Nothobranchius furzeri: one gene and its partners. The protein of the gene in region 1 purifies or fractionates together with the protein of each later gene. This does not show direct contact. Links are inferred from orthologs where the notes say so. Each region holds a gene or a part of one and is shown on either strand. Other genes may lie near its edges.

What was found.
Region 2: the proteins of ncbp2 (region 1) and kpna3 purify together in Homo sapiens (co-immunoprecipitation; 3 studies listed by BioGRID and IntAct, with this or other methods). This does not show direct contact. The link is inferred for Nothobranchius furzeri from reciprocal best matches to the Homo sapiens genes NCBP2 and KPNA3.
Region 3: the proteins of ncbp2 (region 1) and phax purify together in Homo sapiens (affinity purification with mass spectrometry; 5 studies listed by BioGRID and IntAct, with this or other methods). This does not show direct contact. The link is inferred for Nothobranchius furzeri from reciprocal best matches to the Homo sapiens genes NCBP2 and PHAX.
Region 4: the proteins of ncbp2 (region 1) and kpna2 purify together in Homo sapiens (affinity purification with mass spectrometry; 4 studies listed by BioGRID and IntAct, with this or other methods). This does not show direct contact. The link is inferred for Nothobranchius furzeri from reciprocal best matches to the Homo sapiens genes NCBP2 and KPNA2.
Region 5: the proteins of ncbp2 (region 1) and kpna1 purify together in Homo sapiens (affinity purification with mass spectrometry; 3 studies listed by BioGRID and IntAct, with this or other methods). This does not show direct contact. The link is inferred for Nothobranchius furzeri from reciprocal best matches to the Homo sapiens genes NCBP2 and KPNA1.

The regions. Positions count from the first base shown.
Region 1 is NC_091748.1:71,741,872-71,748,381, forward strand, and holds the start of ncbp2 (nuclear cap-binding protein subunit 2), read left to right. Parts: upstream 1-2,733; 5' UTR 2,734-3,761; coding exon 3,762-3,836; intron 3,837-3,926; coding exon 3,927-4,013; intron 4,014-4,251; coding exon 4,252-4,346; intron 4,347-4,821; coding exon 4,822-4,960; intron 4,961-6,510. UniProt on the Homo sapiens protein: Component of the cap-binding complex (CBC), which binds co-transcriptionally to the 5' cap of pre-mRNAs and is involved in various processes such as pre-mRNA splicing, translation regulation, nonsense-mediated mRNA decay, RNA-mediated gene silencing (RNAi) by microRNAs (miRNAs) and mRNA export.
Region 2 is NC_091754.1:26,736,963-26,741,842, reverse strand, and holds the end of kpna3 (importin subunit alpha-4), read left to right. Parts: intron 1-731; coding exon 732-818; intron 819-897; coding exon 898-1,067; intron 1,068-1,221; coding exon 1,222-1,266; intron 1,267-1,346; coding exon 1,347-1,478; intron 1,479-1,581; coding exon 1,582-1,710; intron 1,711-1,992; coding exon 1,993-2,097; intron 2,098-2,331; coding exon 2,332-2,403; intron 2,404-2,576; coding exon 2,577-2,739; intron 2,740-2,830; coding exon 2,831-2,925; intron 2,926-3,010; coding exon 3,011-3,109; 3' UTR 3,110-3,336; downstream 3,337-4,880. UniProt on the Homo sapiens protein: Functions in nuclear protein import as an adapter protein for nuclear receptor KPNB1. Binds specifically and directly to substrates containing either a simple or bipartite NLS motif.
Region 3 is NC_091741.1:59,212,891-59,219,506, forward strand, and holds phax (phosphorylated adapter RNA export protein), read right to left. Parts: upstream 3,491-6,616; 5' UTR 3,386-3,490; intron 2,599-3,385; exon of another isoform or gene 2,462-2,598; intron 2,322-2,461; 5' UTR 2,310-2,321; coding exon 1,092-2,309; 3' UTR 803-1,091; downstream 1-802. Other genes in the region: pmpcb (mitochondrial-processing peptidase subunit beta), read left to right, coding at 3,639-3,722, 4,590-4,712, 5,001-5,087, 5,171-5,300, 5,852-6,050, 6,126-6,205, 6,381-6,493. UniProt on the Homo sapiens protein: A phosphoprotein adapter involved in the XPO1-mediated U snRNA export from the nucleus.
Region 4 is NC_091752.1:67,643,173-67,649,563, forward strand, and holds kpna2 (importin subunit alpha-1), read right to left. Parts: upstream 3,526-6,391; 5' UTR 3,442-3,525; intron 3,216-3,441; 5' UTR 3,172-3,215; coding exon 3,115-3,171; intron 3,030-3,114; coding exon 2,889-3,029; intron 2,719-2,888; coding exon 2,627-2,718; intron 2,542-2,626; coding exon 2,273-2,541; intron 2,202-2,272; coding exon 2,107-2,201; intron 1,953-2,106; coding exon 1,689-1,952; intron 1,575-1,688; coding exon 1,341-1,574; intron 1,255-1,340; coding exon 1,072-1,254; intron 987-1,071; coding exon 837-986; intron 765-836; coding exon 675-764; 3' UTR 553-674; downstream 1-552. Other genes in the region: nucleosome-remodeling factor subunit BPTF, read right to left, coding at 4,834-4,873.
Region 5 is NC_091747.1:50,441,261-50,447,679, reverse strand, and holds the start of kpna1 (importin subunit alpha-5), read right to left. Parts: upstream 3,665-6,419; 5' UTR 3,564-3,664; intron 3,322-3,563; exon of another isoform or gene 3,181-3,321; intron 2,954-3,180; 5' UTR 2,946-2,953; coding exon 2,820-2,945; intron 2,741-2,819; coding exon 2,627-2,740; intron 2,517-2,626; coding exon 2,417-2,516; intron 2,287-2,416; coding exon 2,192-2,286; intron 2,063-2,191; coding exon 1,931-2,062; intron 1,768-1,930; coding exon 1,679-1,767; intron 1,586-1,678; coding exon 1,486-1,585; intron 1,344-1,485; coding exon 1,180-1,343; intron 1,084-1,179; coding exon 1,005-1,083; intron 927-1,004; coding exon 801-926; intron 61-800; coding exon of another isoform or gene 1-60. Other genes in the region: general transcription factor II-I repeat domain-containing protein 2-like, read left to right, coding at 1-60; nanos homolog 1, read left to right, coding at 4,640-5,110. UniProt on the Homo sapiens protein: Functions in nuclear protein import as an adapter protein for nuclear receptor KPNB1. Binds specifically and directly to substrates containing either a simple or bipartite NLS motif.

The DNA of each region.
Region 1 (6,510 bases):
TTGTACCGCATTACTCCCAACACTGTCAAACATAAACGTTCGTTTTTCAGTTTTTGTGCCGGCTTGTTCACGTACACGAGAGACACGAGCGTTCCTTTTACTGATGTTTAATGCGGTCTTGCATCTTCTTTATCTTTACACCACATGAACACCGTAGAACTAATGAAAAAGCATAAATCATGTACAAATTAACAAGTTAGTTGCCTTAAGTTAGCTAACATATTTTATAAATAAAGAATAAACGTACCACTTTGGCCTGCTAGTAGACAAACCGGTAGACTTAAACACTTTACTTTCTTCGAAAATGTTCTTAATTAGCACAAATTTGTCCGTTTTTTAATATAACTTTATTTAGCACATTTTGAACATACAATTGTAAGGCATGGAGCACAAAGTATACCATTGTGGTATTACAATGAAGAACGACAGAAATGATGGAGAAAAAGGAAGAATAAAAAAAAGAAAGGTTTGGAAGAGGTTAAGTCAATCGAACAGTTTCAGATGGTTACAAATGTTAACAGACTTAAGAGCCTTTGTGTTTTTTGATGAGGAGATCGTCCTTATATATTGTTCAAGTTCCATTTTTAATACAAGAAGTTCAGGTTTCCTGCCAAGGACTTTGCTTTTGTGTATGTGAAATTTAGCCAAAAATAGAAACATATTTACGAAGAAGAAAGCACACAAATTAGTCCGTGCGCATCAAATCTACGAGAGACGGGAAGTGACGTCACAACGCTCTTAAACACACCTTATCAAATAAACCAATTCAAAATTACTCAAATATCAAAAATGATTCGTTCTGTGCACCTGTAAATGCTACAAAATGTATTGAAGACATGAAAAATAATACTTTAAATTAACTTTTTAGGGCATTCACAAAATCACAGTGCCATCTTGTGGTGAAACCTTGAACAAAATCTGCCTGACCAATAAGACACACTGATGATTCCTGTTACATGAATACTCTTTTTATCTTTCAGGTCCCAGGAGTTGTTGCAGCATTAAGTTGAGGTCATCCGACTCCTTACAAGATTTCCAGCAAAATCTGGAAGTTGAGCCGACTCCGCTCAGCGGAGCTGCTGTTCTCCTTTAACTGGACTTCATTACTGTAGAAAACAGATGACTGTTCTGGTAAAACACTTGGAAAAATTCTCATTTAGCATCTGTGTCCAGTTTATTTTTTATTTTTTGCCTCAGGCTTGTAACAACATTCATGCCAGTTCTTTAGGACTTGTTTTTCACAAGTGATTTTTATAATGAAACAAGAGGCATGCTGGAGGCCATGTTGTTATAGGTGATGTTTTGTTTACGAGTTTGAGTTAGAAAAATAAAATGTTGACCTTGTGGTTCCCTTGTAAGTTTGTGCGGTTACTTTTGCGCAGGTCTGTTGTCACAAGTTAAAATGTAAAAGGAAAACAATGGGAGGGATCCAGACAGTAGCCAATGGCACCACATCTTCGTAATTATATAGAAAAGTACACTGACTCACTGACTGTCCTAGCTTCATCCAGCTCTGACCTTCAGCTCTTGCTGGGTAGGTTCACGGCTGAGTGTGAAGCGGCTGGGATGAGGATCAGCACCTCCAAATCTGAGACCATGGTTCTCGACCGGAAAAGGGTGGCTTGCCAACTCCGGGTCGGGGGAGAGGTCCTACCTCAAGTGGAGGAGTTTAAGTATCTCGGGGTCTTGTTCACGAGTGAGGGTAGGAGGGATCGGGAGATCGACAGGCGGATTGGTTCGGCGTCTGCAGTGATGACGCTGAGCCGATCTGTCGTGGTGAAGAGGGAGCTGAGCCAGAAAGCCAGGCTCTCGATTTACCGGTCGATCTACGTCCCAATCCTCACCTATGGTCATGAGCTTTGGGTAATGACCGAAAGAACGAGATCGCGGATACAAGCGGCCGAAATGAGTTTCCTCCGTAGGGTGGCCGGGCTCAGCCTTAGAGATAGGGTGAGGAGCTCGGAGATTCGGGAGGGACTCGGAGTAGAACCGCTGCTCCTCCGGATCGAAAGGAGTCAGTTGAGGTGGTTTGGGCATCTGGTCAGGATGCCTCCTGGACGCCTCCCTGGGGAGGTGTTTCGGGCATGTCCTGCCAGCAGGAGGCCCCCGGGTCGACCCAGGACACGTTGGAGAGGTTACATCTCCAATCTGGTCCGGGAACGCCTTGGGGTCCTGCCGGAGGAGCTGGTGGAGGTGGCCGGGGAGAGGACGGTCTGGAGCTCCCTAGATGGGATGCTGCCCCCGCGACCCGGACCCGGATAAGCGGAGGAAGACGACACTGACTCAATACCCTTGGGTATTTGCTTTCCTAAACATATGTTTATGAAGGAATGATTAGGTTTAGTTAGAAGTTAATCCATTACACCATCTCATTTAGACAAGGCAGTTTTATTTATATTTCAAACAGAAGCAATTAAACGTCCTTTCAGGTCCAAGTAAAACGCCCGAAAACAAAAATTAGCCGACAGAGTAAAACTGTAAGGTTCGTCTTCAGCGTTCAGACATAAATTCTGATTGCTTTACAGCCAGACAGGACGTGGTTTATAAAAAAAAAGAAGCATAAAGATGCAAATGTTTAAATCGAATTTAAGATGTACAAATAAAAATATTTAAAAAAAACTGCAGAAGGTGTTGATGTTGGAAGAAAAAGAATATATATATATATATATATATATAAAATCAGTAATTTGCTAATGAGATTTCTTGCACATATATGGCATTAAAACACTTCTGATGCTGATATAAAAATCCCCATCTCACCCTCCGTGGGTGGTCTCATCCTTCCAACCTTGGGTCCTCTACCAGAGGCTTGGGATCTTGAGGGTTCTGCAGTATATTAGCTGTTCCTAGAACTGCACTTTTCTGGACTGAGAGGTCTGATTGTTTTCCTTGGATCTGCTTTAGCCACTCCTGCAGTTTGGGGGTTATTGCCCTGATGACCATGGGCACCACCGATGTCTTCACTCTCCAGCTTAAGTTCTTCTTTGAGGCCCTGGTACTTTTCTAGTTTCTCGTGCTCCTTTTCCCGGATTTGCATGACTTGGTATCGCCACATCAACCACAACGGCTGATCTCTGTGGTTTGTCCACCACCACAATGTCCGGTTGGTTCACCATCACCATTTTGTCAGTCTGGGTCTGGAAGTCCCACAGGAGCTTGGTTCTCTTGTTCTCTACCACCTTAGGGTCAAAAGGTACGTGCAGTCCAAGTGCACCAAAATACAAGAAATCCTGAAAGTGATGGTCTGGTCCCACAGAGCCTGATCTCAACATCAATCGTGTGTCTAGGATTACAGGAAGAGACAGAAGGATGTGAAGAAGTCCATATCCACCGATGATCTGTGGTTAGTTCTCCAAGATGTTTAGAACCAGCCCAGTTCCTTCAACAAATGTGTGTGTGCACCTAGAACTGATGCTGTTCTAAAGGCAAAAGATGGTCACACCAAATATTGATTTGACTTGATTTAGATTATGTCCATTCACTGCTTTTTTGATTCTTGATAAATGATTAACACTTCCAGTTTTGAAAGCATTCTGCGTTTTTCCCACTAATACACTAAGAAGAAACACACACACAAACAACTACAAAGCTCGGATGAAGGCGAAAACTTAAAAAAAAATTGTAAGCAAACGCAAAATGATCTAATTTAGCGATCCTCCGTGTTTCCTCCCGGATGTATTTAGTGGACGGACAAAATACCCGGAAGTACATCATCCAAACTCGCGTCGTTAGCATTCTGCCTAAGTAGTCATTTATCCAAAATGTCTTCTAAACTAAACGCTTTAACCAGCGATTCTTACACTGAGATTAGTCAATATAGAGATCAACACTTTAAGGTAAGGGAGAAGGTGAATGAATTCGACTTTTGTATGTAAATGTGTTTTTCTCCTGCTCTAAGAGTAGTTTTATGTCATGTTTGTTTTTAGGGTAATCGTTATGAACAGGAGAAGCTGCTAAAGCACAGTAACACTCTGTATGTTGGGAACCTCTCCTTTTACACAACGGAAGAGCAGGTAAGACCTTTAAATAAAGCTAGCTTCGGCTTCCTGAGGACTGCTTTACTTCTTACATTATTCCATGAAAACCTTTCAGAACTTCTAAACGTGGTTATAACCAGCTAAATAATCCGATGTTCAAGATCGATGTAGCTACTACTGAGATCTGATGAATGTTGGCTTATAAAAACTAGACGGTTGTGGCTGGTTTATACTAGATTGAAGGCATATTTCGAATCACTGCTAATATGAACAGGTGCACGAGTTGTTTGCTAAATGTGGAGACGTGAAGCGTATCATCATCGGCCTGGATAAAATCAAGAAGACTGCCTGCGGATTCTGTTTTGTTGAGTATCCTTTTAAACTATTGGTAAATGGCCTGTATCTGTATAGCATCTTCTTAAGGTTCTACAGCCCCCCAAGGTGCTTTACAACACAATTAGTCACCCACCCACACATTCACACGCTGGTGATGATGAGCTACAATGTTGCCACAGCTGCCCTGGGTGCATAGACTGGCACAACCGGTCCTACTGACCACCACCAGCAGACAAGGCAGATTAAAAGTTTCGCCCAAGGACACAACAGCAGCATTCTCTGGCTGGAGCCGGGATCAAACCTACAACCTTCCAATTACTAGACAACCCACTCTACCTCCTGAGGTACTGCTGCTCTATCGTCACCTGATCTAGTAAAGCCAATTGATGCACAAGAAAACAAACCGTTTAAATGTCAACAGTGTTTCTGTCTTGACTGGTCGTGTATTAAAAGGGTAGCATTGATGTGAAAATGAACAGAGTGTGGACCTTAGCTGCGCCTGTACCAGATACTACACACGAGGAGACGCAGAGAACGCCATGCGCTTCGTTAACGGTACCCGGCTGGATGACCGGATCATCAGGACAGACTGGGACGCAGGCTTCAAGGAGGGCAGGCAGTACGGGCGTGGCAAATCTGGAGGACAGGTGAGGTTTACGGTCATTTTGGTTCATAATGTGAACTTGCTTAAAGGCCCAGTGTGTGATATTTTTTACCAGTTTACTATCAAATCCTGTGTTTGCAGTTCACAAACTGCAAACTTATATAGTTATACATTTTATATACATAATCTGTGGTCGAGGCTCCATGGTCATCCACCATCTTAAAATACAGTAGCTGTTTAGGGACATACGAGCTCCACGTTACCGTTTGGACTATGACTGTAACCTGAAAGAACCAGCAGAGGGCAGCAGTGTGCCCTGGAAGCATGAAGTCTGCTAATTCAACTAAGAAATAGAAAAGAATAGCTACACCGTTGCTCTACTTGTTAGTTTGAATTAAAAACAACTAAATCAAAAGACATCAAATTTGTCCATTCCTCGTCATGTCCAACACAAGATCCCCGCCCGCCATTATCTGGAAGCCAGCCTCTGATTAGTGTCTCTGACTCCCAAACTCACCTCAAGTTGTTCATCCATCTTTTCGTAGAACCAGAACTCCCGATCCGGTCCCAACGTGTCTGTACTAAAGTCCTTCTACTCAAGTCTCCTCTCTTCCCGCAGCCTGCCGTCTCTCCCAACACGCTCCAGTGCTCGTGCGCTAGCCAGTGGCTAATCAGCGTGGTTTACTTTTATCTCCACAACACTCTACTAACAGCGATGTAGTTCTCCACGCATTACAGAGACGCTCCGACTCAGAGGGCTTCTTCTCAAACGTTACCTTTAGACCTGGGTCTCCTTTTGCTGGTAATCCGTGGGAGTTTATGCGTCTCTCCGGCTCTAGCCATGGCTAACTAGTAGCTCGTGATGCCCATCTCCACCACGCCAGCCGTGAGCCACAATTAGCTGGTGGCTAAGTCAGCGTTGTTTACTTGATCTCCACAGCGTGTCCCCCCCTCACCAACCCTGCTTCACCAGCCGTGGCTAACGATCAGCCAGTGATCGCTCCATATCCATATAAGCTTGTAGCAGCAGCCAGTTTGTTTACATCGAGCGGTGCGCTCCGTGATCTACGTGAAACGGGTGTGGTGGGAAATTATGTTGCCCTGAAATATTCTGTTTCCTTTGGGCAGTCAAGAGCAAACATTTCCAAATCCACAGAACTTATTGTCCATCATGATGACTTAACAACCTCAAATAAAAGATGGTTAAACTGAGTGAGATTACATCTTTTTACATAACTTTCAAAAAAGATAAATAAGCTTGCTGCAAAAGAGTGAACGAGAATGTTTTTACTGTATCTTTTTTATTGTTTTTAGGAGGAAATACAGATAAAAACCACAAGCGCAACATTATTACAATACATTGCATCATTTTCCCCGTAAAAGTTGATCACAAATGTTGTGGAAAATAGCCAGAAGTGCGATCTCCCGACACGGGGGACAGGATATTTCAGGGGTACACAATTTCTCACAACACCTGACCTCCTGGCTGTCGTCACACCTCCTGTGTGTGTGAATCGTGACAGCTTTAGGAACAGAACTAGCTTTCTTCTTTCAGAACTGGTAGGTTGATAAACAGTCATAATTATAAATACT
Region 2 (4,880 bases), on another chromosome or scaffold:
TCTCCTTCACAATGTTGGTGGGAGGATCGACACCTTGGACATTCGTCAAGCTGGTGTTTTTATTCTTGGCTCGTTTTACAGAACATCGGGGGGGGGGGGGGGGGAAGTCCTGGGGTCTCATTTATCAAACATTGCATAGAATCCTTGCATGATCAATCGGGTCACAGTGACAGGACACACACACTGTCACAGATGCATGACATTCTGTCTCAATCTGTCCCCCTGCTGATTTCTGCGTTCCGTATTCTGCGCTTCAGGCTGTGTGCGTGTGTGTGCGTGCGGGGGGTCTTGTTCTTTGTGGAAACGAAGCAGTACAAGTGATAATGCTGCATAATTTTATCCTTCTCAGCAGCAGCACTGCAGGTGCTCTGCATGTCTAACATGTGTGTAAGCCAGGTCCTTAGTCAACTTAAAGTTGCGTACATTTTTCCGCTGTTTTCTTTCATGAATCCCAAAGATTGTGTGGAAAGTTGCTTACGCAGTTTTCCGACTGTGTTTTGTGCGTAAGCAAGCTTGATAAACGAGGCCCCAGCTCAGATGTTGTGTAAAATTCCCGAGTAAATGAGACCCATCATCAATACTGATCCGAACTGGGACCAGTCCATCATGTTTCTGTGTGATGTTGAGAGCAGGAATCCTAGATTTTTTTTAATTTTGGCTTTAAATCTTCTCCAGGAAACCTGCTCCACAAGCTGCCACCTAGTTCTGACTTAAGTTTTTTTCGTATCCAGATGCGGTCCCCTTGTTCCTGCGGCTGCTCCACTCTCCTCACCAGAACGTGTGTGAACAGGCCGTTTGGGCTCTGGGAAACATTATCGGTGAGTACGACCCTCGGGCGGAACGTAGGCTGGGGCAAATGCAGCCGTGATGCTGAGATCTCTCCTGTCGCCTGCTCAGGTGATGGTCCACAGTGCAGGGATTATGTCATTTCACTGGGCGTGGTCAAGCCCCTGCTCTCTTTCATCAACCCGTCTATCCCCATCACCTTCCTCCGCAACGTCACCTGGGTCATTGTTAACCTCTGCCGCAACAAGGATCCGCCACCGCCCATGGAGACTGTGCAAGAGGTGGGCGTGTCTGGGCACGCTTTTGTATACTAGACCTATCTTTGTGTTGTTGTCTGCGTTCACCCAGGATAGTCTTAGACTAGTGACAGTTCAAGCTGTTTGTTTCTGCTCTGTTCTTTGATTTGACTTAAAATCCTCTCGTCTTTGCCCACAGATTCTGCCGGCCCTCTGTGTGCTTATATATCACACTGATATTAATGTAAGTTTCTGCCTGCAACGTGCTCGTCCCATGCATGTCTTTTCTCAGAGTTGTTAACTGTATTATGTTGGTGTGTGTAGATACTAGTAGACACAGTCTGGGCTCTGTCTTATCTGACGGACGGAGGCAACGAGCAGATCCAAATGGTCATTGATTCTGGGGTCGTTCCATTTCTTGTGCCTCTCCTCAGCCATCAGGAGGTCAAAGTTCAGGTAAAATTGTTTTCATGCAGAGCTCTTTGCTGTTTTAATGCGTTAATTTTAATCGGCGAATTAATCTGAAGTTGTCTCGTCATTCTTTCTCCTGCAAATCCAGACAGCAGCTCTGAGGGCCGTCGGGAACATCGTGACGGGAACAGACGAGCAGACACAGGTGGTTCTAAACTGTGATGTTCTCTCGCACTTCCCCAACCTGCTCACCCACCCTAAAGAAAAGATCAACAAGGTAATTCGAACTGGAAACGGGACTCTTAAGGCTCCTCGCATTTCCGTCCCTTTACGAATGAGAGGGGTGTGGTTTTTGTAAAACAATCATCACTTCCGACGAAATACACCCACAGAAGTCTTCCTTACATTTAATATAACACCTGTTATGGAAGTAAGATCGTTAAAGTGAGTCATTAATGCAAAATGAAGCATAAACGAAGCTGAATTGGATCCAGATGTGGCTGAAAGGCTGTTTTGGGGATGAAGTTAAGGGGCTGATCTTGACTGCTTGTGTTTGCAGGAAGCAGTCTGGTTCTTGTCCAACATTACAGCAGGGAACCAGCAGCAGGTCCAGGCTGTGATCGATGCTGGGTTAATTCCTATGGTCATCCACCAACTGGCTAAGGTTTGTGCACGGCACGGGAGCAGCAGAAAACCTAAAAACTCTCGTAGTTATTCACCTTTCTCCACAGATGGGGGCGGATCAGGCTTTAGAAATATGTTTTATGATTTTTACACATTGTGAAACGGATTCTTTCAGTTCAGGCAAATAAAAATCTCATAAGATGGTCACAAATGTGGTGAGCATCTGACAATATGCTCTGGAAGTGGATCTCAATGACAGCCTGGTTCTCCACAGGGCGACTTTGGCACTCAGAAGGAGGCAGCATGGGCCATCAGCAACCTCACCATCAGTGGGAGGAAAGACCAGGTGAGCTGGAGCCTTACACTTTTAACTTGGCAACACGACCACACTTTTAAATGTTTATCTGAATATTTCACATCCTGTAAGTCCATGTAAATGATTTAAGGAGGCCGTCCTCCAGACTTGTAACCACATATCTGTGTTACGATAAAGTGGTGTGTATGTATGGGTTTGTGTAGGTGGAGTTCCTGGTGGAGCAGAACGTCATCCCTCCGTTCTGCAGCCTGCTGTCGGTGAAAGACTCTCAGGTGGTGCAGGTCGTCCTGGACGGCCTGAAGAACATCCTCATCATGGCTGGAGACGAAGCCAGCACCATCACTGAGATCATAGAGGAGTGTGGAGGTTATTTAGTCATTTCCATTTAACTTGATGCTCTTGGGTTTACAACATTTTGGTGATAACACAAGATATCTTTTATGTTTTTTATGTGAAGGTTTGGAGAAAATAGAAAATTTGCAGCAGCATGAGAACGAAGACATCTACAAACTAGCCTTTGAGATTATTGATCAGTACTTTTCAGGAGATGATGTAAGTTCACCATCAGGGATTTCTTTTTCTACTTCAGGTTTTTCCCTCTGCAGCTTGGTGTGATATCTCCTAGTTTCTTTTCCAGATTGACGAAGACCCTAGCTTGATCCCTGAGACCACTCAAGGAGGAACCTTCAACTTTGATCCAGCGTCCAACATGCAAACAAAGGAGTTTAATTTCTAAAAGCCGGAGGATTTTTGGTTCCCATCGCTGCATGGGTACTCTGTAATCATTGCATCCATCTCCAACAATCTGGCAATCCGGTACTGAAGGATTTTCAAAGCATCACTTCGACATGGATCTCACCACTGAGATGCTTTCTCCACCTCTGCACTGCGGGGTCGTTTTATTTATTTTTTTCCTTAAGTTTTTTTCTCCTTTTCTTCAAAGTGTCATTCTTTTTGGAGCAGTGCGATTCTTTTTTTTTTTGGAGTCCTGGTGATCCGACAGGCGCCTCGGCAACCCGCGCGAGGACGGCTGTCGGTGCCGCCAGAGCTCCTGAGGATCCGTCGAAGGTAAAAAAAGCAGAAGGAAGAAAAAGCCTTGGCAAGATTTGTTTGCCAATTGTCAAGTCTTCACTAAAGACAACACAAGCACATTTACAAACACAAACAGGTGCGCACACACACACAGTTATATATAAATATATACATATATGTAAACACACTTTTGACACTTAAGACTCGTGTGCTTATTTCTGTTAGAAATTATATCACACATGGGGAAGAAATACTGCTGTTTGTTGGGTTATTTTTGTGCTCTCCCTCCCCTGGATTGTCTTTTGGTGTACCCCCCCCCCCCCCCGACACACACTCGCACACAAAAACACTTGGTCACACTGATTCCTAAAGGCCAGGCACACTCCTCTTTCACTCGTCTAAAGATTTAATCCCAGAGCTAAGCCATGATCACCCACAGACCCCCCACTGCCCTCCCAGGAGAGTCTTTGGGCAAATCGGGGAAAAGAAAGGGCTCCAAGGCAAAAAGGAGAAGACTTCGTGGCAAACTCACTAACGGGGACTTCTGACTCAGACGTCACTTTTTTCCTGTACTGAATTTAAGAAAATATCTAAAATGTGAAGAAATGCCATTTTATTATTTTTTTTAACCACATTCAGCTGCAAACTGTTTCTGAGTCAGAAGGTAGATTTTGGTATAAATGGACGTGGAACCCTGTCACACAGGGAATGGCAACAGAGACCTTAAGAGAAGAGGAATATCACTTTCTCCTGTGTGTTCCCACCTGGCTATGTGAACAGATTTTTTTGTTTTGTTTTTGAGACTCTCCTGTAATGTGAAAACTCTGAAAGGGGGAGGAGCTTAACAAAAACGTATGTTAAAGCGAAAAGTCCAGAATTGCTCATCTGACCATAAGGTTGTGTTTTATTTTTGTTTTAATCCTCTCAGAACAAATGTTTCATGTCTCAGCTTTGTACGGTTGGGTCTGTTGGTTTTTACTTTATTCAGTCTTATGCACACGTCTGAGAGGCACGACAGTGTCTGCCTGCAGAAAGGGACCCACGGAGTGCAGGTCCTGATCTTTTATTGTACTTAACTACTTTTGATGAAGAGGTCACATGTCATCACTCAATTTGAATAATTGTACAAAACGTGATGTGTATCTCTCCTTGCCGTCTAATGAGTATATGAATATAAATATATGTAAACATAAAGCCTGTACAAAGCTGCTGCAGCTGACAGTCATTGTATGAATAACTGTCAAAGATGGCAGGGGATGTTTTTTTTTTGAGCAATATTTCTTTGTTTTGTTTGTTTTTGACTTGTAATGACATGCTGATTGGATCAGAATAGGCTCTTATTTAGTCCGTTCTGTTGTGGTGACGGTTTATTTTTATTTTTAATGTACCGTCCCATGTTCTGTTTTATTTGGGTTTAAGGTGTCAAACTTTAATCCCAACTCTTGTCCTGGTCTCAGATTTTATAATCTGCTGAT
Region 3 (6,616 bases), on another chromosome or scaffold:
GCTGTTTCTTGAGCCACAAAAAAGGGACTTTTTTGCTATTTTCTAAATTTGTTCAAAAAAATGTTTGCTATATATTTTTGCTGAAGCCCATTTTTGCTGCTCCAATTAAAACAAAAATAATGTAAATCATAATTTTATTTCTTATCACTATTATTCCAGAGAGGACACAAGATTCTGTAGTTTTTGTCCACTAACCTTTTTTTTATATGGAAACAAAAGGAGCCGTTAAGAGTAATGTTGAAATGTCTGAACCAGAAGCCAGATTCAATCAGAAACTGATGTTTAGTGCAGGAGTGTTTGAACTGTTAAGTGTTACACATGCAGCACTGAAAACAATAAAGGATAAATACGATGATGGAAAAAGACTAAACGACTTATTAAATTCTACTTTACATCACTCAGGCCTTATTGATGTCCAGATAGTGTCGAAGTATGCATTTATTTTATGAAGAAACTATTTTTTATAAAGGGCCTAAGATAAAAACCATGAGGCACTTTACAAGGACAATAAAAAATGATCAAAAACCATCGTAAATTAAAAATTGGAGGAAAAAAATGAAAGAAAAATATAAAAGTATGTATAGTATGTTTTGTTATACTGTAATAGCCGTAAATGTGGTTCATCCAAAAGCAGCACCTTAAACATTTAGTGTTGCTGTCATCTAGTGGACAAAAGTCTGCACTGCAAAAGCTGTCATGGGAGAGGGGTTATTCTGATCTGTCTGGGACCAAACCTGCGTGTTGCTGTTAGAAACCTTTCTTTCTGCATGACAGAATCACAGAAGCAAGACTTCCTGCTTTACTGAACATTTTTCTTCAACAGTTCTTTTATTTGTCCTGCAATGACACACTAACACAATACCTCTTTATATACTGAAATCAGCAAAGATTTTTTTAAATTCAGATCCAGGATATAATTTTGAACACAAACAGAGTATTTTTCATTTGTTAGCATTAATGTTTCTTTTATTTCTAAAGGTAAATAAAAAATGGAATACAAACAAACAGTGTGACTTCAATGACTCCTTTAGTTTTCAGTGCTCCTTTTTCATCTCAGTTCTGGTTTTCTATGATCACACACAGGGATGTGTTCAGAAAACCTCCAGGTCTGTCGAGTTATAGACCACCGCCGTCTCCTCGGTTCCCACAGCAACCTCCTCCTGACCCGCCTCCTCTTCCTCTGCAGCCTCCTCCAGAGATTCCAAGGCCTCGTTAGTATCACTAGCAAAGGTTTCCCTGGAGACGTCGTCATGCTCATGCAGGTTCAGAGTGCCGATGGCCTGCTTCATCTTCTTAGCCAGCTCATGCCGCCTCCTCTTCTGCGCTGCCTTCTTGCTCTTGTAATCTTTCTGATGTTCCTCAAAAAATATCTTCCTGATCTGGGACTTGGAGACGCTGGGCGTGTTCTTCAGCAGGTTGAGGAATACTCCACCGGGAGTCCTCCGCCTGCTGCCATCCATAGTGTAAACACCACCGTTTTCCTCCAGTGTGGCGGTCTCACCCAGCAGTTCTATGGCTTTTTGTGATCCAATAACGCGAACAACTCGCTCTATCAGATCTTTTTTAGGCTCCTGCAGTCTGTATGTAATCTCGTCCACCACCTTGTCCTCGGGGTCGTCTTCAGTGATTTCAAATCGACCCTTGATGTCCATCTCAGCTATGGCGCCAAGTCTTTCTTTGGCGGGTCTTTTCCTCTTAACATCATTCCCTGCCTTCTCTTGTGAACCCCGGCCCTTCATGTAGGCCTCCAGTTCAGCATCTAGCATGGTCTCCTCTTCTCCCTGCTTTGACTGCTTCTCCATCTCTCTCTCCTTCTCCATCATCTTTCGGGCTAGAACAAAGTTATAAGTCTCCACACTTCTGCTGGACATGCTGACACCCTCCATACCAAAGATGCCTAGCTCTGAGGTGATGGCATCCTGGCACTGCTCCTGGACCACGGAACCCCAAATATTGTTTACCTTGCGACTTCCAAGCGCACCCGGGGCGGGCACGGGCCTCGGACCAGGCAGAGCAGACCCTGCAGGCTGCTGTGGAGCTCCAGACACTTTCTGTCTCTTTCGGCGCCACATGGCCGAATCCTCGTCTGAAGAATCCGGATCACTGTCGCTGGACTCCACCGCCTTAGCGGAGCTTCGGTATGGGGCGGCAGGCGGCCGGGTGGCGGCTCGTTGCTGAAAGGACTGCCCGCTAAAAGCCGAGGAAGCCTCGGTTCGGTCAGGTTCTGCTGCAGCCGTTCCCATTTCGGTGTCCGAGTTGGACCCAGAGATTTCTCCATCTTCCAAGTCACCGTCCATCAGTTCGGCCATTCGGTAGCCTACCTGGAAGTCAGAGCCAACAACAGAGGCTGTTATCAACACCTTTGTCTCTGAAGTTCGGGTTACTCATAGCTAACTCCACAGCACGTTAGCGGCTAACAAACTCAATGCTAAGGCCGGCCACAAAATAATGCAATGAACACCTTAAAGAGCCCGATAGAAAGCTCTATTCCGCAGGCGAATGTAGTTTAAATCAGCTTGGCGACTCCTCAACGCAACGATTAACGAACGCACCAACTTACGAAAGAGCCAGAGGTGAATTGGCGCTGGCTAAAGCGCCACTTCCGCCTGGGAACTGTCAGAACGTTTCAAAATAAAACTACAACTACGCATTTTACATATTGTGGTTGTGGATGCGTAATTTTTGGCATTTTATCTGTTGTGTTATTTATTATATGTCCTAAAATCAAGAATATTGCTTTCCTATGTAATATGATCTCAGAAAACTCCCCAAGTTTCAAGGATTTTAATACAGTGTCACTATGCAGGTGTACACTTACTAGCATTGTCAACATACTAAACATGGGCCAAAATATTATATGTTAAATGTAGCATGTTTACAAATGTATGTGTGTGTGTGTGTGTGTGTGTGTGTGGGGGGGGGGGGGGGGTCATTAAAACGCATTTATTTATACGTCAATGTAATTTCGTCCAAATATAAATTATTTCTTTATAATTAAAGTTTTTATTATCTTCAGATTTTTTATAACGTACAAGAACATACAAAAACAAAATTCTATGCAACCTGGTAGGAGTATGGTAGTATCTATGCAACACCTTGTACTGTATAAATTTACTTCTAGCCTCTTTCACATATTTACCACTGTCTGATAAGACATTTAGCCATTTTTCATTTGTGTATTCTGTTTCCAAGTCCCGCTGCCAAAGTAGTTTAATGCCTAAAGACTCCCCACTTAAACCATGATTAAACAGTTTATAAAACACCGAAGCAGTGTGGCGGTCACGTGGCATTTTAATATAACCTAAAATATCATTCTCAGGAACTTCCTTAAATTTAGAAGTCACACAATGTCTCATTTGGAGGTATTTCCAAAAATGTCCTTTACCTTGCAATTTGTAAGTATGGGTTAGATCCTCGTAAGACATAAAGTTTCCATCTTTACACAGATCTCCAATATTACATATACCACGTGAGTGCCACTGTCAAATATAAATTATTGAGTTCCGGGTTCTAAGAAACATTAGTATTTCTCAAAGCAACTGCTTTTATTTTTTAAAGAACCAAAGCACCACCTTCTCTTCCTTGTCCGTAGCGGAAGTTGCGTGACGCACGCATGCGCACATTTACAAATAAACAATATGGCAGCGTCATTTCATCTTCTCACATCTGCGGGGAGAATTATTTTACAAAGAAACTTACTCAAGAGTAATTATCTCAGCGGGGTAAGAATGATTAAAATCGATTTTAATCGATCATGGTTTATTGGGCAGCAGTAGTTCAACAGGTTGAGCGGGTTGTCCAGTAATCGGAAGGTTGCAGGTTCGATCCCGGCTCCGGACAGAGAATTCTGCTGTTGTGTCCTTGGGCAAGACACTTAACCCACGTTGCCTGCTGGTGGTGGTCGGAGGGTCCGGTGGCGCCTGTGCTCGGCAGCCTCACCTCTGTCAGTGCGCCCCAGGGCAGCTGTGGCTACATCGTAGCTCATCACCATCAGTGTGTGAATGTGTGTGTGTGTGTGTGTGAATGGATGAATGATACACTGTAGTGTAAAATGCTTTGGAGTCCTTACTGTGAGAGGCGCTACACAAGTGCGGGTCATTTATCATATATTGTCTACAGGACGCTTGAAACTAGGTTTTAGCCGGCTCACTGTTTAACATAGCCGCTACAGGCTAACTGTGATAAATCCTTATGTTTGGTTGGAGTGAAATAGCGGGTATTGTTTCTCAACGTCAAGGAACCTTGTCTTGATGTCTTGGCCCCGCCCCGGTTGCCTAGGAGATACGCCATCAGGAGCCGCCAAGACGTGTTCCAATCGGTTCCAATGACCTTCCCCACTAGAAGCTGGATGTTCTACCGAGGCGTGTGTTCTCCGTTTGTTCTTCCATTTAACCGATTTCTTTGATCAAGGAAGGACAGTGTCCTCGTAAGCAAGGCGCCTCGCAAGACATCGCCTCGCAAGGCGCCTTGACATTGAGAAACACCCTCCGTCAGTATAACAACAATGCTATGTAGTTAACTAGTACTGATTAACAGCAGCTGGTCTAACTCTGAAGACTCATACTGACTTGCTGATTTTGTGACTGTAGCGGCGGCTGTTGGCTACTCGGGCTGCCCACCAGGTGGCGCTAAATGTCCCAGAAACTAAAGTTACTACTTTAGAAAACGGACTGCGGGTGGCTTCAGAGGACTCCGGCCTTACTACGTGCACAGTAAGTTCAAATCCTAAATGAACAGCATGTGGGTCAAACAGCAACCATGTACTTTAAACATCCAGCCATTAAATTTACAGTTTTTTTTGTCAATACTGGATCAGAGTACTGGATAGTTATCCCACCACCATGATTCAGTCACCATAGCTTCACCCTAGTCATGCATCAGATGTAAGCTGGAGGATTATGTTGTAAAATCTGTTTTCTTTTCAAAGTTTGAGCCCCTCATGCTGAAAAGGCCTCTCACAAGGACCGGTGGAGAGAACATTGATAAGTGGTTTCTTTCAGGTGGGGCTGTGGATAGATGCTGGCAGTCGCTATGAGAATGAGAGGAATAACGGCACAGCACACTTCTTGGAGCACATGGCATTTAAGGTGAGAAGGCTGCAGCTGTGAATATTTAATCTGTGTGTTTATCTGGAAGAGGAAATGTTCATTTGAATGTTTGCGTGCTGCAGGGCACCAGGAAACGCTCTCAGCTGGACCTGGAGTTGGAGATAGAGAACATGGGAGCTCATCTGAACGCGTACACATCCCGGGAGCAGACGGTCTACTATGCCAAAGCGTTCTCAAAGGATCTCCCACGAGGTACAGACCAAGAGCATCGACCTGACGAAAATGGAAGTTTTGGTCTGCAGCTATACTACTTTTCTAGTAGCAGCTCACACGAGTAATGCTGCAACAAGAGAGCTCCAGAAAGTTCAACAAACTGTTGATGTGTTTGATTCCAGAATGCTTGATTAGTTCAGTCAACTGGGATTGTCCTCATCCTGATGTGAAAAGGCCTGATCAATGGAGCTCAATGTCCCAATTAACCACATCTGCTTTTAAAATAAAGATAAATCAAATCTAGTCTAGGTGGGAAAAGATCACATGATATAATCGAGGAAATCCTGTTCTCATCTTAATTGGACTTCAAAAGAAAGTGAAGCCATGTTGCTTAAAACCTGCCAAGAGCAGATTTAGTTCACATTGTCGGTTGCCATGGTGATAGTTACTTTGTAATTATATAACATTGCAGCATTCTACTATCTCAGCCTTTATTCATGCTGTCTTTGCATTAACACAATAACATACATTTGTATTCCAAACCATTCGCCATCCAGTTTTGTGATAAAAAACTGTTTTCCGCCTCCTAGCTGTTGAAATCCTGGCTGACATCATTCAGAACAGCACACTCGGTGAAGCGGAGATCGAACGGGAGCGCGGCGTGATCCTCAGAGAGATGCAGGAAGTGGAGACCAATCTGCAGGAGGTGGTGTTTGATTACCTGCACGCCACAGCTTACCAGTCTACAGCACTGGGCAGGACCATCCTCGGCCCCACGGAGAACATCAAGTGAGATCCAGCTGCTTTCCTACTTTCCCTCGTCTGGTTGAAGCAACTGTTTATCTTTGTTTGTTTGTGATGCAGGACGATCAACAGAGGAGACCTGGTGGAGTACATCACCACCCACTACAGAGGACCCAGGATAGTTCTGGCTGCTGCCGGAGGTGTGAGCTGTTATTCTTCTCCTGTGCTGGATTAGAATCAGGTCTAATGTAGAGAAACACACACGGTCCCACTGATGATGCAGAGCTGAGTTCAGATTAAGCATGGATCAGTTCCTCATGAAGTCGGTTTGGTTATTCTGATGCTGATGTGAGTCTACCTTCTGTTTCTAATCAGGGGTTTGTCACGATGAGCTCATCAGTTTGGCCAGGTACCACTTTGGAAAACTTCCCAGCAGGAACCAGGGTGAAGCTCCAGCTCTGCCACTGTGTCACTTCACAGGAAGTGAGGTAGGAATACGAGCATTCAGCATCACTGGGTGTCATAAGTGAGGGAAACCTTTTAAAAAAATGTAAATGTTTAAATTCTCTAAGCCATCTTCAGTTTTGGAGAGAAAAAAATGAACTATGGCC
Region 4 (6,391 bases), on another chromosome or scaffold:
CACCAAAATGAAAATGTAACGTTTGGACCCCGTAGCTGAGGCGCGGGGAGAGGCTGGTGTGGGCTCGCTGAGGGAGGCGGTGTTTGTCTTCACATCTTCGGAGAGAACCTCCGCCTGCCTCGGTCCTCCTCTCAGCTCCTCCTGAGCTCAAGTGCGGAGCCTCCGGGTTAGTCCCGCCGCACGAGCTGACCGGTGACGACAGCACCCACCGGGGGAGCCAGACATCACACACACACACCTGTCTTTCTATCATAGCGAGGACCATCAATTGACTCCCATTCATTTTGACTGCAGTATGCCTAACCGTAAAACTCAATTCACACCCTACTTCTAAACCCAAACTGGTAAGCTTTATATATATATATATTTATAAAAATCCTCACTTAAAAAAAAAAGTTGCCTCATAAGTGTTCACTTTTTTTCACTTGCAGCCTCTGAAAAGGCAGCAGCCATTTAAACCAAATATTAAGTTTTTATATTTAAAATCCGTCATCAAAACCACTTCAGCCTAGGTGTTGCAGGGTAGCTTGTAGCACACACACACACAGCCCATAACAAGCATCATAAACTTTATTTACAAGTGTGTAGAGGTTAAAACCGTACATTAGATACAGGAAAACAGCAGAAGAACACAAACATAGGACACAGGTACAGTAAACAGAAAAAAGGGTCATCTAGAAGTTGAAAGTGCTTTGGTTTTCACTGATCTGGAATGCAAACCCTTCCTCTGTAGCTTCAGGAGCCACACACAGCACCTCCTCCTCCTAAAACAAAAACACACGAGTCCATGAGACAAACAAACATTTAACTGGTCACACCTTCACTGCCACACTCACCTCTTCAGAGAAATACTTCTCAATCAGGTTGAGGGCAGCTTTGTAGATCATCTCGTTCTCGTGAGACTGCAGCGCCTCGATCTTGTCCAGTCCGCCGCATTCTTCGATCATCAGACTCAGCTTGTCGGCCTCTCCGATTTTATCCCCAGCCTGACGAATCCGACAGACAAGTTTCAGGACCGTGAAGCCACACACGAGAAATCAGCTGATCCAGTCCATTCACACATGTGCTCACCATGAAAATATTAGTTATTGCGTCCAAGATGACGAGGACCGTTTTGCTGTCCTTGGAGGAGAGCAGATTCAGAAGAGGCTCGAGAACATTGACCTGCACCAGATACACCACCTGCTGAACAGTGCCCCCACTGGTGAAGTTTGTAACTGCCCACACCGCTTCTTTTTGAGTTTTGTAGTCACCCTGGAGAAGCAAAAATAAAAATATATTTCTAAACTGTTAGAAGAAAAATAAAGTTTACTCAACAATCTTGTGACACGACGACATACCTGAACGAGCATTTCCACCATGTATGGAACGAGGCCTGCGTCGATGACCTCCTGGATCTGCGTGTCCTTCCCAGCTGTGATGTTGGACAGAGTCCAGGCTGCCTCCTTCTGGATGTTGGGCTTCTTGTGGCGCAGCAGGTGAGGGAACATGGTCAGCGCCTTGGCGTCCAGCACCGCTTGAGTCTGCTCGTCTGTGCCGGTGACGATGTTTCCGATGGCACGCAGCGCCGGAGTCTGGGGGAGGATGATCCATTAACAACCGGGTCCAAGTTGTGTCTCAGTGCAAGGACACGAGGTTTAAGACGGCTGAAGCCCACAGAAACCATACTTGCCAGAAAAGTTACTTACAACTATAGACAGCGCCTCAAAGCCGAGCAGATTCACCAGGCGAGGAATCAGCCCCGTCTGGACCACCACCTCGATACGGTCGTTGGAGCCGTCAGTCAGGTAGGACACGGCCCAGCATGCATCAGCAAGCACCTCCAGGTCATTGTGATGCAGGAGACGAATGAGAGCAGGTAGGAGCTGTTCGATTGCACTCATCGGAGGAGAAGGATTCTTGTTACGGCACAGGTTTGAAATAGTCCAAGTCACATTCCTCAGGTAGCCAGGCTACAGAGAACAGAAGAGCAGGTGTCAGACTAAAGGGGTGAATTATTTTATTGGGTTAGGACACCACCTAGTGGCGGGAGGGATTAACGATTACAGGAATGCGACCATTTCCCAAATGGAGTTCTTGGAAAATGTAAAATCCGAGAAGACTTACACTAAAGACAGTCCAGTCAGGAACTTCCAGCAGCCTGAGTAAAGGTGCCACAGCACCGTGCTTAATTACCATATCTCTGAGAGCAGATCCATCACCTATACAAATAAAAAAATTTAAGTTATTTAGGTTAAAAAAAAACTTGCCTAAAGAATAACTCTGCACTTACCTGCAATGTTTCCAAGAGCCCAGACTGCCTGCTCGCTGATGTGCTGGTGGGGGGATAGGACCAGGTTAATGAAGGCAGGAATGGCCCCACCCTCCACAACAGCAGCCGTCTGATCCGATGTGCCAGAGGCGATGTTCGTCAGAGCCCAGGACGCCTCAAACTGGATAGGAGGACAGTCCGTCAGGCCGAGGAAGGCCACGAACTTGGATATCAGACCAACGCTGATCATCTGATCAATGGGAGGGCGCTTGTCTCGTGACAGAAGTTTCCTGATGACAGAACATCACGGTTGAAGTTACTGCATCAATACTGGTTTACTTTGGAATTTGCAACGTTAAAAAAAAAGACTGTTACCGTGCAGCCTGGGTGGCTTGAAGCTGAGACTCCAGATTACCGCTGTTCACCCCAGTAACGATCTCCTCCACGGTCCATTGTCTTAAATTCTGCTAATGGGGCAAAAGTGGGTCATAATTTAGTGGAAAAAGTTAAGAAACAGGGCTCAAAATCAAAGTACGAGGCTCGGGGTTTGCAACTTTCACCAGATACTGGGACTATTCACCCCCCTACAGCTTAAGATGCAGACCACGTCCTTAACGAATGACACCTGAAGTCTCACCTGGCCGTTCTGAGTTCTTTCCTGGAGAGGAGAAGTGGCCTCTTCCGGTTCTGTGCACACGTTCCTCCTTTTGAAGATCTGGTCGTCTTTCTTGGCTTTTCGAAGCTCGACGTTCACCTCAGCCCTCCTGCGCCGAAGCTCCTGCGTCAGATTCAAACGAATTCAAGTTCAACACAAGTCTGCGCATTCTACCCCGATCACTGACGCTGGGTGCAGCGAGTCTTACGTTAACGTCTTTGCCTTTGTTCTTGAATTTGTTCAGACGTGCGACGTTCTCGGACATTTTCAAGCTAGTGGACTTGAGTAGATGCAAAGTTGGTTCAATTCCTGCGGAAACACGTTTATTTCACACGAAGGTTAATCGATTTGCTCCGAGCTGCCTCGTGACACCATGAGCCGTCAGAAACCGCCGAGCGCTTTACTTCCTGTTTGAAATTAGTTCATTGCTAGTTAATTAAAATAGTGAAATCACGGCTTGGACAGACGAAACAGAAGGGGAAGAAATCGTAAACACGTTTCAAACTTTCCGAATGAGCAGCAAGACCTCACTCACCTGGACTGGAACAGTTGTGATATGGAGAAAATACCGCACAGACCTTTAAATTCCTACTAGACTCGCCTCTGATTGGCCCGTTCGAGCCCAAACGTCGAGCCCTGAGCGTTCATTGGACTGTTCAAAAATTTCATAACACGCACCGGAAATGTCGTTACGTTACGAGAATATCGCGAGACTTATATAACAGCGCTTGTTGGGTTAGATTGTAGTGTTAAAAATAAATCTTTTCACTCTTGTAGGCTAGAAAATAAATGTCCAACACACCAAAGTTAGCGAAAGCCAAAAACTAAATCTAATTTAAAACGGAGCAGCAAACTTTTACTAAAGTCGAGTGAGGTTTTTTTTTAATATTTAAAGAGCAAGTAACCTCTAAATTAACTTTTTTTGCTGATAAACTGTATAAATGAGTGTCTAATAGTGTTTTAAATGTGTGTATTCATTTTTTATAATTTTTTTCTCAGAATTATGAGAAACCAAGTCAGGATTCTGAGATTAAAGTCAGAATCGGTTTCTGTTTGAGACAGCAGGGGAAAATAATGTATAAATAATTCAGATTACATTTAGGCACACACAATTAAGCAAATCTGACACATTTATAGTAATTATGTAAATATATATTGTAATTTTGAGATTTTTTAGTCAGGGATGGAGATTCCTATGGACGAGCTGAGAGTGATGCAGTGTAGTTCAGATATTTTTCATTTGTAACACAAAAAAATCAAGTCAAGAACTGATGAATTTTTTATTTCATTTTTATACAAAAAGGGCAGGAACCTTCAAATACATAATTTTCATACTTCTCAGTCACTACTGCAAATTCACTTACAATAGCCTTTTACCATATTTTCAGTAGGATATATAGAAGTTTAACCAAGATGACTACTGATGTCCAAATATTTAGTAAACTTTCTTTCATGCCACCTCAGACTAAAAAGATAAGTGGAAATGAGTGGCGGGGAAGATAGTCGTCTGAATTCAGACGAATCTCATGGTACATGATGCTCAGTAAAGCTCAGCCATTGTACATCAGTCTTGAAGTTTCTGTTATGAGCTGACATGAAGACCACAAGAAAGGCCTGAGGATTTTTTTTACAAAAAAAAAAAAGGGTTAAAAGAAAATTACACGGAATCGAGAGCTCAGCTCCAGAAGTAAACTTTATCTGAAGTGCCTCCGCTGTCCTCGCACCACCTCCTCCCAAGTGCAGAGCTTCTTATGAAGACAGGTCCCGAGACGCCCGCCTTGCAGCTGAAAACGTGCAGAGGGCAGCTCTGTCTGAAAAACGCCGTGAAAGCAGCAGTGCTGGTTGACTCGGTCGCCCGGCAGCGTGTTGTAGAGTCGGTCTGGAAAAGCCGTTTTCTTGGCGAGTGCATTTTCTACACAGCATTTTTCTAAGAGACCGAAGAAGCCTGAAGTTTGTTGTTATGAGACCTACAGGATGTGGAGAAAGGGGAAGAAATGAAAGCTCCTCACACTTTTATTGCTGTTCTTGCTAGGAATAATCAGACAGAATGGGTGAATGGAGTTTTCAGCAGCCATGTTGGTGTAATGAGCGGGAATGTCTTTATTAGTGAATAAACCTTCCACAACTACAAACTGAGGTTATGTTTTAAAGTAAAGGACCACAAGGCCACTCTCCACCCCCGTCAGGTGATTTCAGACCCATAGAAGTATTTTTCCAATCTAAAACAATGATTTAAAAGTCGGACAAAGTCGCTGTACACGCTAAAAGGTATGTACACTCTAGAGGACCACCTTAGAACATCCAGATGAAATCAAACTGAGGGTGAAGCCGCATACAAACATCTGTATAAATATCTTCATAATAAAATATGCACCTTTCATCTCAACATATCAAATTCAGCTGAGATGCTGAACAATAATAAATACAACTTAGAAAGCAAAACTCATTAAAATCCTACGGAACATTTAGGAAGTTTCACAAAGGCCCGATGTCTGATTCGATATGATGGCGATGATGAAGATGGAGTCAAAGTGGTTGCTGTTTGACTAGGAATTCTGTCGACTATGATCAGAGCTTCTTCTTTAAAACTTCGAGAGGGGGAGGGGGGAGCACATTTGGTGGTCGTTTTTCTTTCCTTGAGCTTTTGGAAACTGTTTTCATGCCAATTTCACAAGAGACACCCAGCATCCAGTCCAGACTCCTGCTAGACTGGCAAACTTAAGAATCTGACAATCTGTAAGAAAAGAGGAGATGGGATGGCTTAAATCAAAGGCATGCAGCAAACACACACAATGCAAGATGATAAACACAACAGTGACTTAACACAACAGTAACACATCTGCTGAGACAACGGACACCCAGGTGGTCACTTCTAGGGTTCCTACTGCGCTTATAACTAAACTCTGGAGTACAAAGTAATTCCTACTGCTACAAGCATGATAGAAGCTAAATATTAGGGCCCGGACTTTAACGCGTTAATTATGATTAATTAATTAGAAAAAAATAGCGTGTTAAAAAAAATTAAAGCATTTAATCACAGCTCGCATTTCGAGCAAGGTGGAACCTTTGTTATTGCACGATTTCCTCGTAGACTGAATATCACTGATGCACACAATGCACAGCGCTAATGGCTACTAAAACGTAATAAAAACAGAAAAAAGTTGCCTTGCTTGGACTGATGCAGGATTTAGGAAACACAACCGCCTCTTTTCTTAACTTGGAAAAAAAAACTTCCAGACAACAACGGAGTCCGTGTGGCAGACATTTTTCAGAGATCGTCTCTGCTGCGGCTGCCCGGTGGCACCGGAAACTTTACAAAAGTTGCGGTAAGCTATATTTTTAACATTTACGTAACATCTGTGCAGCGCTGAAAGCACCAGACAGAATAATTCTGTGCCCTAACAGTAGTTTATGAAAGTAGGCAGATAAACGAGAGGCACCTGGCTGCCGCTGGGAGAACGCTCCGTGTTCTCACTACTCTGTAA
Region 5 (6,419 bases), on another chromosome or scaffold:
AACATTGATGAGCTTGTACAAAAGATGAGACACCATCAAGTATCAGGCTCAGAGAAGTGAGCATCACAGAGCATTAACGTATCTTTAGTTTTTAATTCGGTTAAAATTTTACATTTGTTTCTACAAGACATGATTTTTCTTTGAAGGAAGTATTGTTTTGTCAGTGTGCCATATATTTTTGCATTTTATTGTATTGTACTGTATTTTATTTATATTTATTTTAGTTAATGGACTCAGGGGAAATTGCAGATAAGAGCCATGAGAAAGAATTTGATTTATTCTACATTTTTTCATTTTACTATTTGAAGCAGTAATTGGTAGGATAATAGAGCAGCACAATATTGCATTTTCAGTTTATAATGCATGCAGTTTCATTTAAGCATTCATCTTGATGTAAGGAACATGTTTTGTTTTTGAAGGAAAATTGCTTTTTTGCTGTTTGCCTGTTGAAAATGTTTTCTTTTTAGCTTACTGACAGAGCCATAAGAAAATATTACTTTATTCATTTAATGTACAGGACGTGATTTTTCTTTGAAGGCAGTTTGTTCTTGTCTGTGTGCCTGCTGAAAAATGCTTTCCCCATTATTGATTTAATCATTAAATAATACACTGCGTTAGGTCTTGGTTCAATAGGCTACGTGCAATCATTTCAATATGTTTTAATAAACATTGAACCAGTCCGGTCCTCGGCTTATAGCCAATTTGTATTTTTGGCCCTCTGTGTATTTGACTTTGACATCCCTGTTACGAGATGAAGTAGTTAAAAAAAAAAAAGAAGAAAGAAAACTGTGTAGAATAACCTGTATTTGTGCTCGATTCCCTGCGGTGATGTTGGAAATGGTCCAACAAGCTTCCTTCTTGATAGACTCCTTTGGGCTGCTCAGGAGGTAAAGTAGGGACTGCAGAGCTGAACAGTTCAGGATCACCTGAAAGGATAAATAAAAATCAGATTCAAATCAGAACATTCATGTTTATTTAACAGTTTGTGTTGATGATGTCATTACTTGTGTCTGCAGATCATCGCCAGTGACGATGTTCCCAACAGCCCGCAGAGCTGGAGACACCACTTTATAATCAGAGTGCCTAAAGGGAAGGAGATGTGTGGATCATATGAAAGAATCTGGGACTGGACACACGCTTCTACAACACGCTGCAGAATAAAAAAGTTTCAATTCTTACATCAACAACTCCACTAGCCTCCGACAGACTCCTGAGTCAATAACAGCCTGGATTTTGTCATTAGGCCCATCAGATAGGTAGGACAGTGCCCAGCATGCATCAGCCAAGATGTCTGTGTCGTTAACAAACAGCAGCCAGGACAGCACACAGAGACATGGGGACACCTGGACGGGGCAAGGAGGAGAACATGAGGAGATTTAAGAGGAAATTTGCTTTTGGATTCAATTAGAAGACCATCCTGCCTGTGACCTTGAAATGTGCTCTGATGTGCAGTTGCCATAGCGATAGTATATCTTGGCAAATTACCTTAGCAAAGTCTGGGGGTGGGTTCTTTCCTCTACACAGGTTTGAGAGCGCCCACACGGCGTTCCTCATCATCGTTAGGCGATTCTGTTTGGCCAATAACCTAAAAGCGGGATTTAACAAAGCAAAAATTCCTAAAGATGCTGTTTTTTCCATTTTTATTTTCTAAAATTATACAAAGAGATCAATGACGTACTGCAGCAGGGAAGGCAGGATGTTGCAGTTGATGACAAAGTTTCTGCATTCTGTGCTGTCACCTGCTATGTTACCCAATGCCCACACTGCCTGAGGAGTGAAACAACTATTCATTTTAGACAACAAGCACTACATGAATGTATGATTTTGTATAACAAGAACATCACAGGCCAGTTCTTGCATGTTTTTGTTAAAAAAAAGTTAACAGATATAAGGTTGTTGATGCAGAAATAAGCCTGAAAACTCGACCAACCTGTTCCTGAACGTCTTCAAAATCTGAGCTCAGCATCTCTATGAAGATGGGCACAGCTCCAGCCTGGATCACAACCCGCGTCTGGTGGGATGTCCCTGAAGCAATGTTGGTCAGCACCCAAGCTGCCTCAAACTACAAAGATAATTACAAAAAAGGCTTAAATGTATTAAACCATGAGCAGAATTAGAGACACCATACAAGGCAGAGAGAGGATGCGGTCCAACACGAGGAGGAAATTTTATTTAACTTTGGGAAATAAACCTGCAATGTGCAATTTTCTCTCCTCTTCAGAAACTCAACAAAACACTCGACCACCCCCGGAGTGGCAATAACTTCGTCGATGGGTGGGTTGGGTTCTGCGCAAGAAAAACATTTGTAGGAATGTAACCACTAAATGTTTCAACTCAGGTAGTAAATCATGATGTTTTGAAACAGGGTGCATGGTTTAAAATGCACACATTTAAAAAAAGGAAAAAAAAAGCCAACCTTTTGAAAGAAGCTTCCTAAAGCGCTGAGTGCCTATCAACTGCTGCTCCGGAGAGCTGGAGAAGATCATCTGAATCATGTCATCAGAGATCACCCCACCCTGTGAGGTGACAAAATAAGAATTTATTTGACATGTGATTTTAAACGGTAGTAAAATAAATATATAAATAAAAAGAGTTGATTGCAGAAAAAGAAGGAATATTTTCCCACCATTAGTGGGTCCAGGTTGTTAGCCTGAGATTCCAGATAGCCACTATCAGCCATTCCATCATCCTCAAGGGTGCCCTCATCCTCCACAGTGGCAACATTCCTCCTTTTAAAAAGCTATAAAAGAACAAGATGCTTATTTGGTTGCAAATTCTGACATTTTATTCATTTACGGTCACATTAACCATTGACTTACTTGTTCATCCTTCTTCTGTTTCCTAAGTTGCAGGCCTTCCTCTTCCCTCCTCCTCCTCATCTCATCTGTGTTAAGAGACTTGTTTTTGTAGCTCTTGAGTCGTGCATTGTCCTTACTTTGACTCATAGTGATGCCTGAGAGCACAGAAATACCTATGATCGACACAGACTTGACTAGGATTAGGAGCCATTGTTTTAGCATAGCTGGATCAGAGCAGATCCTAATCTTGGTTTTAGCCTCCTTCATGAATTAAACGTCGCCCAGTATCCTCTGACAGTCATAGCAAAAGGTTGGGTGGATCACACTGCTACTTCAGCAGTCTCTTTCACAGTCAATGAGTAGATCATTCCTCTAAACAAACATTGCTTCAGCTAAAGTATTAAGAGACCTTGCTAGCAGGTTAGCATTCTCTGAATTTACTGCGTGGGCTGCAGGAAACCAAACATGTCAATTTTGGTGAAGAAAACCTGTCGAAGTCAACTGACACTACTAAAAACACAAGGTAGTACTACAGCAACGTACAGACAGGGTCAGGCTGCTTATATCACAGCGGGTATTAGCCTCCTACTCAACTCCGTAAGCTAGTGGCTAGCTGGATGTTAGCTTAGGTCGAGACCAAGCTTAGCACTGCGGACAGTCTGGCGTTTCCCAGATGTCTCTGGCAAAAATGGTAAAACATCTTGTCAATGTAAAGGCTTTCTAAACATAATAAATAAAAAAGTGTAAATGTTTTACTTATTTTACCTATCGGGTTGTGCTCGTAATCCCCTTGTTCGTTAGGCCACCGTTTGTACAGCCGTCACCGGTAAATAACTACGCATGCGCCTCGAGGCACGTACGAGGAGTCCTCGTACGCTTCTGTGGCCACGCCCACACGAGGCTTTTGTTTTGTAAATATGACGCTTCCATTGATTAAAAGGGTGAAAACGTCTTCAAAAGTGAAAGTGTAGGTCAAAAGTTGAACGTGTTAAGGTTCAGAAGCCAAAAGAGTCATCCCACTCACAATTAGGGGTTGACAGATTTGTTTTAACTTCAAAGAGCGATGCGTTCTGTCAGTTTTACTGAACATTTTTCAAACGGTGCAGGTGTTTATTTTGAAGTGTTTTAGATGAGACACTGAGGCGCCAAGGATCATTAAGGGGTTAACGGTGGGTCGGCAAGGTAGCCACACATGCACATAAACACACAGGAACACACACATGCACACACACTGATCACAGTGTATGCAAGACATTTTCACCATCACTTATTATTGTTGTTTTCATGTTTTGCTTTTGTGATTTGTCCTTAAACTACATTTACAAACTTAGGCAACACATGCAATTACAAAATCTAAATATTAACATCTAAATGTGTCACAGGCGCAAATATCGAAAAGCGTGCACCAGAGCAAAACAGGTGCACCTTTTTAAAGTTTGGAAAAAGATAAAATATGCGTTCATTTATAATTTTTAATAATCAAATTTTTGCACAAGTATTCAAAAATAAAGATCATAAACATCTTAATCCACGGACTACTCTGTAGTAAAGTCATTGTTTATATTTTGTTGATTGGGGCTTCAGGAAATAACAATAACAACATTCCACAGATTGTAGTAGGCCTACATTGTGAAAAATATTTACCTTTGCACGTGTTTTAACATTTTTTTTACCTAAATAAATGCAACTGCCCTTAAGTGTTCAAACAAAGCCATTACCCTGCACAACCCAAACACCTGCAAGACATCAACATTGTTGCAATTTAAAACGACTTACTGGCGCCTATAAATATGCAACGATGCTCTCTAACGCAAACCATTGCACATTTTTGTTCCATAAAGATGCAAGGTGGGGTGGACGTCCAGAGCTCGTTCCTGCACGGTGGCGACTGCTTCGACATGTGGCATGATTACATGAACCTGAGCAGCCTTCTGGAGAAGCGCGACCAGAGGGAGGTGGCTCCAGAGGAGCCCGAGAAGGACCCCCATTGGCGACACCTCCAGACCCCATCCAGGCGCAGGACTTCCAGCATCTCCGCAGAGACTAGTTCCAGCAGCAGCAGCAACAGCAGCAGCAACAACGGGGCTTCTGCAAGCAGCTGCAGTTTCTGCAAGCAGAACGGAGAGTCTCCTAAGGTGTACCGGTCCCACAAGCTCAAATCTGACGACGGGAAGGTGCTCTGCCCCGTCCTCCGGAAGTACACCTGTCCCAACTGTAAGGCCACCGGGGACAGAGCGCACACACGCAAGTACTGTCCTGGAGACAAGCGGCAGGAGGCTGCGAGGGTGCTGTCCGGATTAAAGTTCTGGTAGCATGATGCTGTCAGCTGGAACAAACTTATAAAAGGTTGTTTTGTTTACTTAAAATCTGTCAACAAGGAGAAAAATGGGTTTAAGCGGATCCTGTTTGGTTTGATGTTTGAGCATCAGTAAGTCTGACCTGCATCCTTTAACAATCCCAAACTTTCAGTATTTGTTTGTTTGTTTTTATCATGACTAAATGCAAATGATTTTGAGTTCATGAGGCAGTTTTTGTTGTGTTCCGTCTTTAATGAGTTAAAACACAATAATAATCTGTTCCGTCATCATTTTCATATAATAAACAGTTCTTTGAAAACTATGACTGCTTTTTATTTGCATAAACAGTCAGAAATAAGCAAATTTGCATTAATAAGTGCAGGTATGTATTTTTCAGATTTATATTTTGCTTTACTGTCGCATTGGTTAAATCTACAAACTATTATTTGCTTTGATAATTTTTTAATTAGGGTTTTAAATATGAGTGCAACATGTCAGGTTGAATAATTTGGTTTGGGGGTCTCACAGAAAGAAATAATAGCTTTTATTTTAAGTGCTCTGAGGGGTGTTTTATTTAGAAAAAAAGTGATAATTTATGTTATGGTAAATTATCATAAATGTTCTGGCTAAAAATAATGAATTGGTTAAAGCTAAATACAAATAAACCTATTTTGGATAATAATATTTAAAAACTGCACAAATATCTTGATACAATATTTTTGCTCTTGAAGTTTGTTCTTGAAATCTTCATAAGAACTCTGGATTTAATTATGACAGACATATTAAATCATATATGAATACAGTTTGATATGATCTCTGTTTTAAATCATTTGGAGAAGCGTTGAAAAAAACACAGTGAATATTTATCCAAATCGTTTTGTTTTTAGTTTTATTTCCCTGATTAGCGGTGTAAAATAAATGAGTTTGGATCATCTTAACATACATTTATCTCATTCTTTATGATGGAAGCAAGGCTCTTTTCTTTTAATAAACACAATTTTGTGATGTCTTGTGTTTTTACGTAGAGTTTATAATTAAAACAAATATCAATTGGTTCGCAATTTAAACTATAAATTGACCAAATAAAACCTAATTCTGAAAAATGAGTCAGATTATTGAAACATAATATTTCTCTTATTTTTGCATTACACCAGTGTGGTAATCTGCTTCAAGACTCATAATAGCTGTTATCCAACTGAGGAAGCAGCCACTTTCATAATTTGTCACAAGCGAATGAGATTGACCAATCACAAGAAGCCAAACTGTTCTCACCTGTTGGGGCGGAGCTAACACCCAACCTTGCATGAGTGAGTCATAAACACAG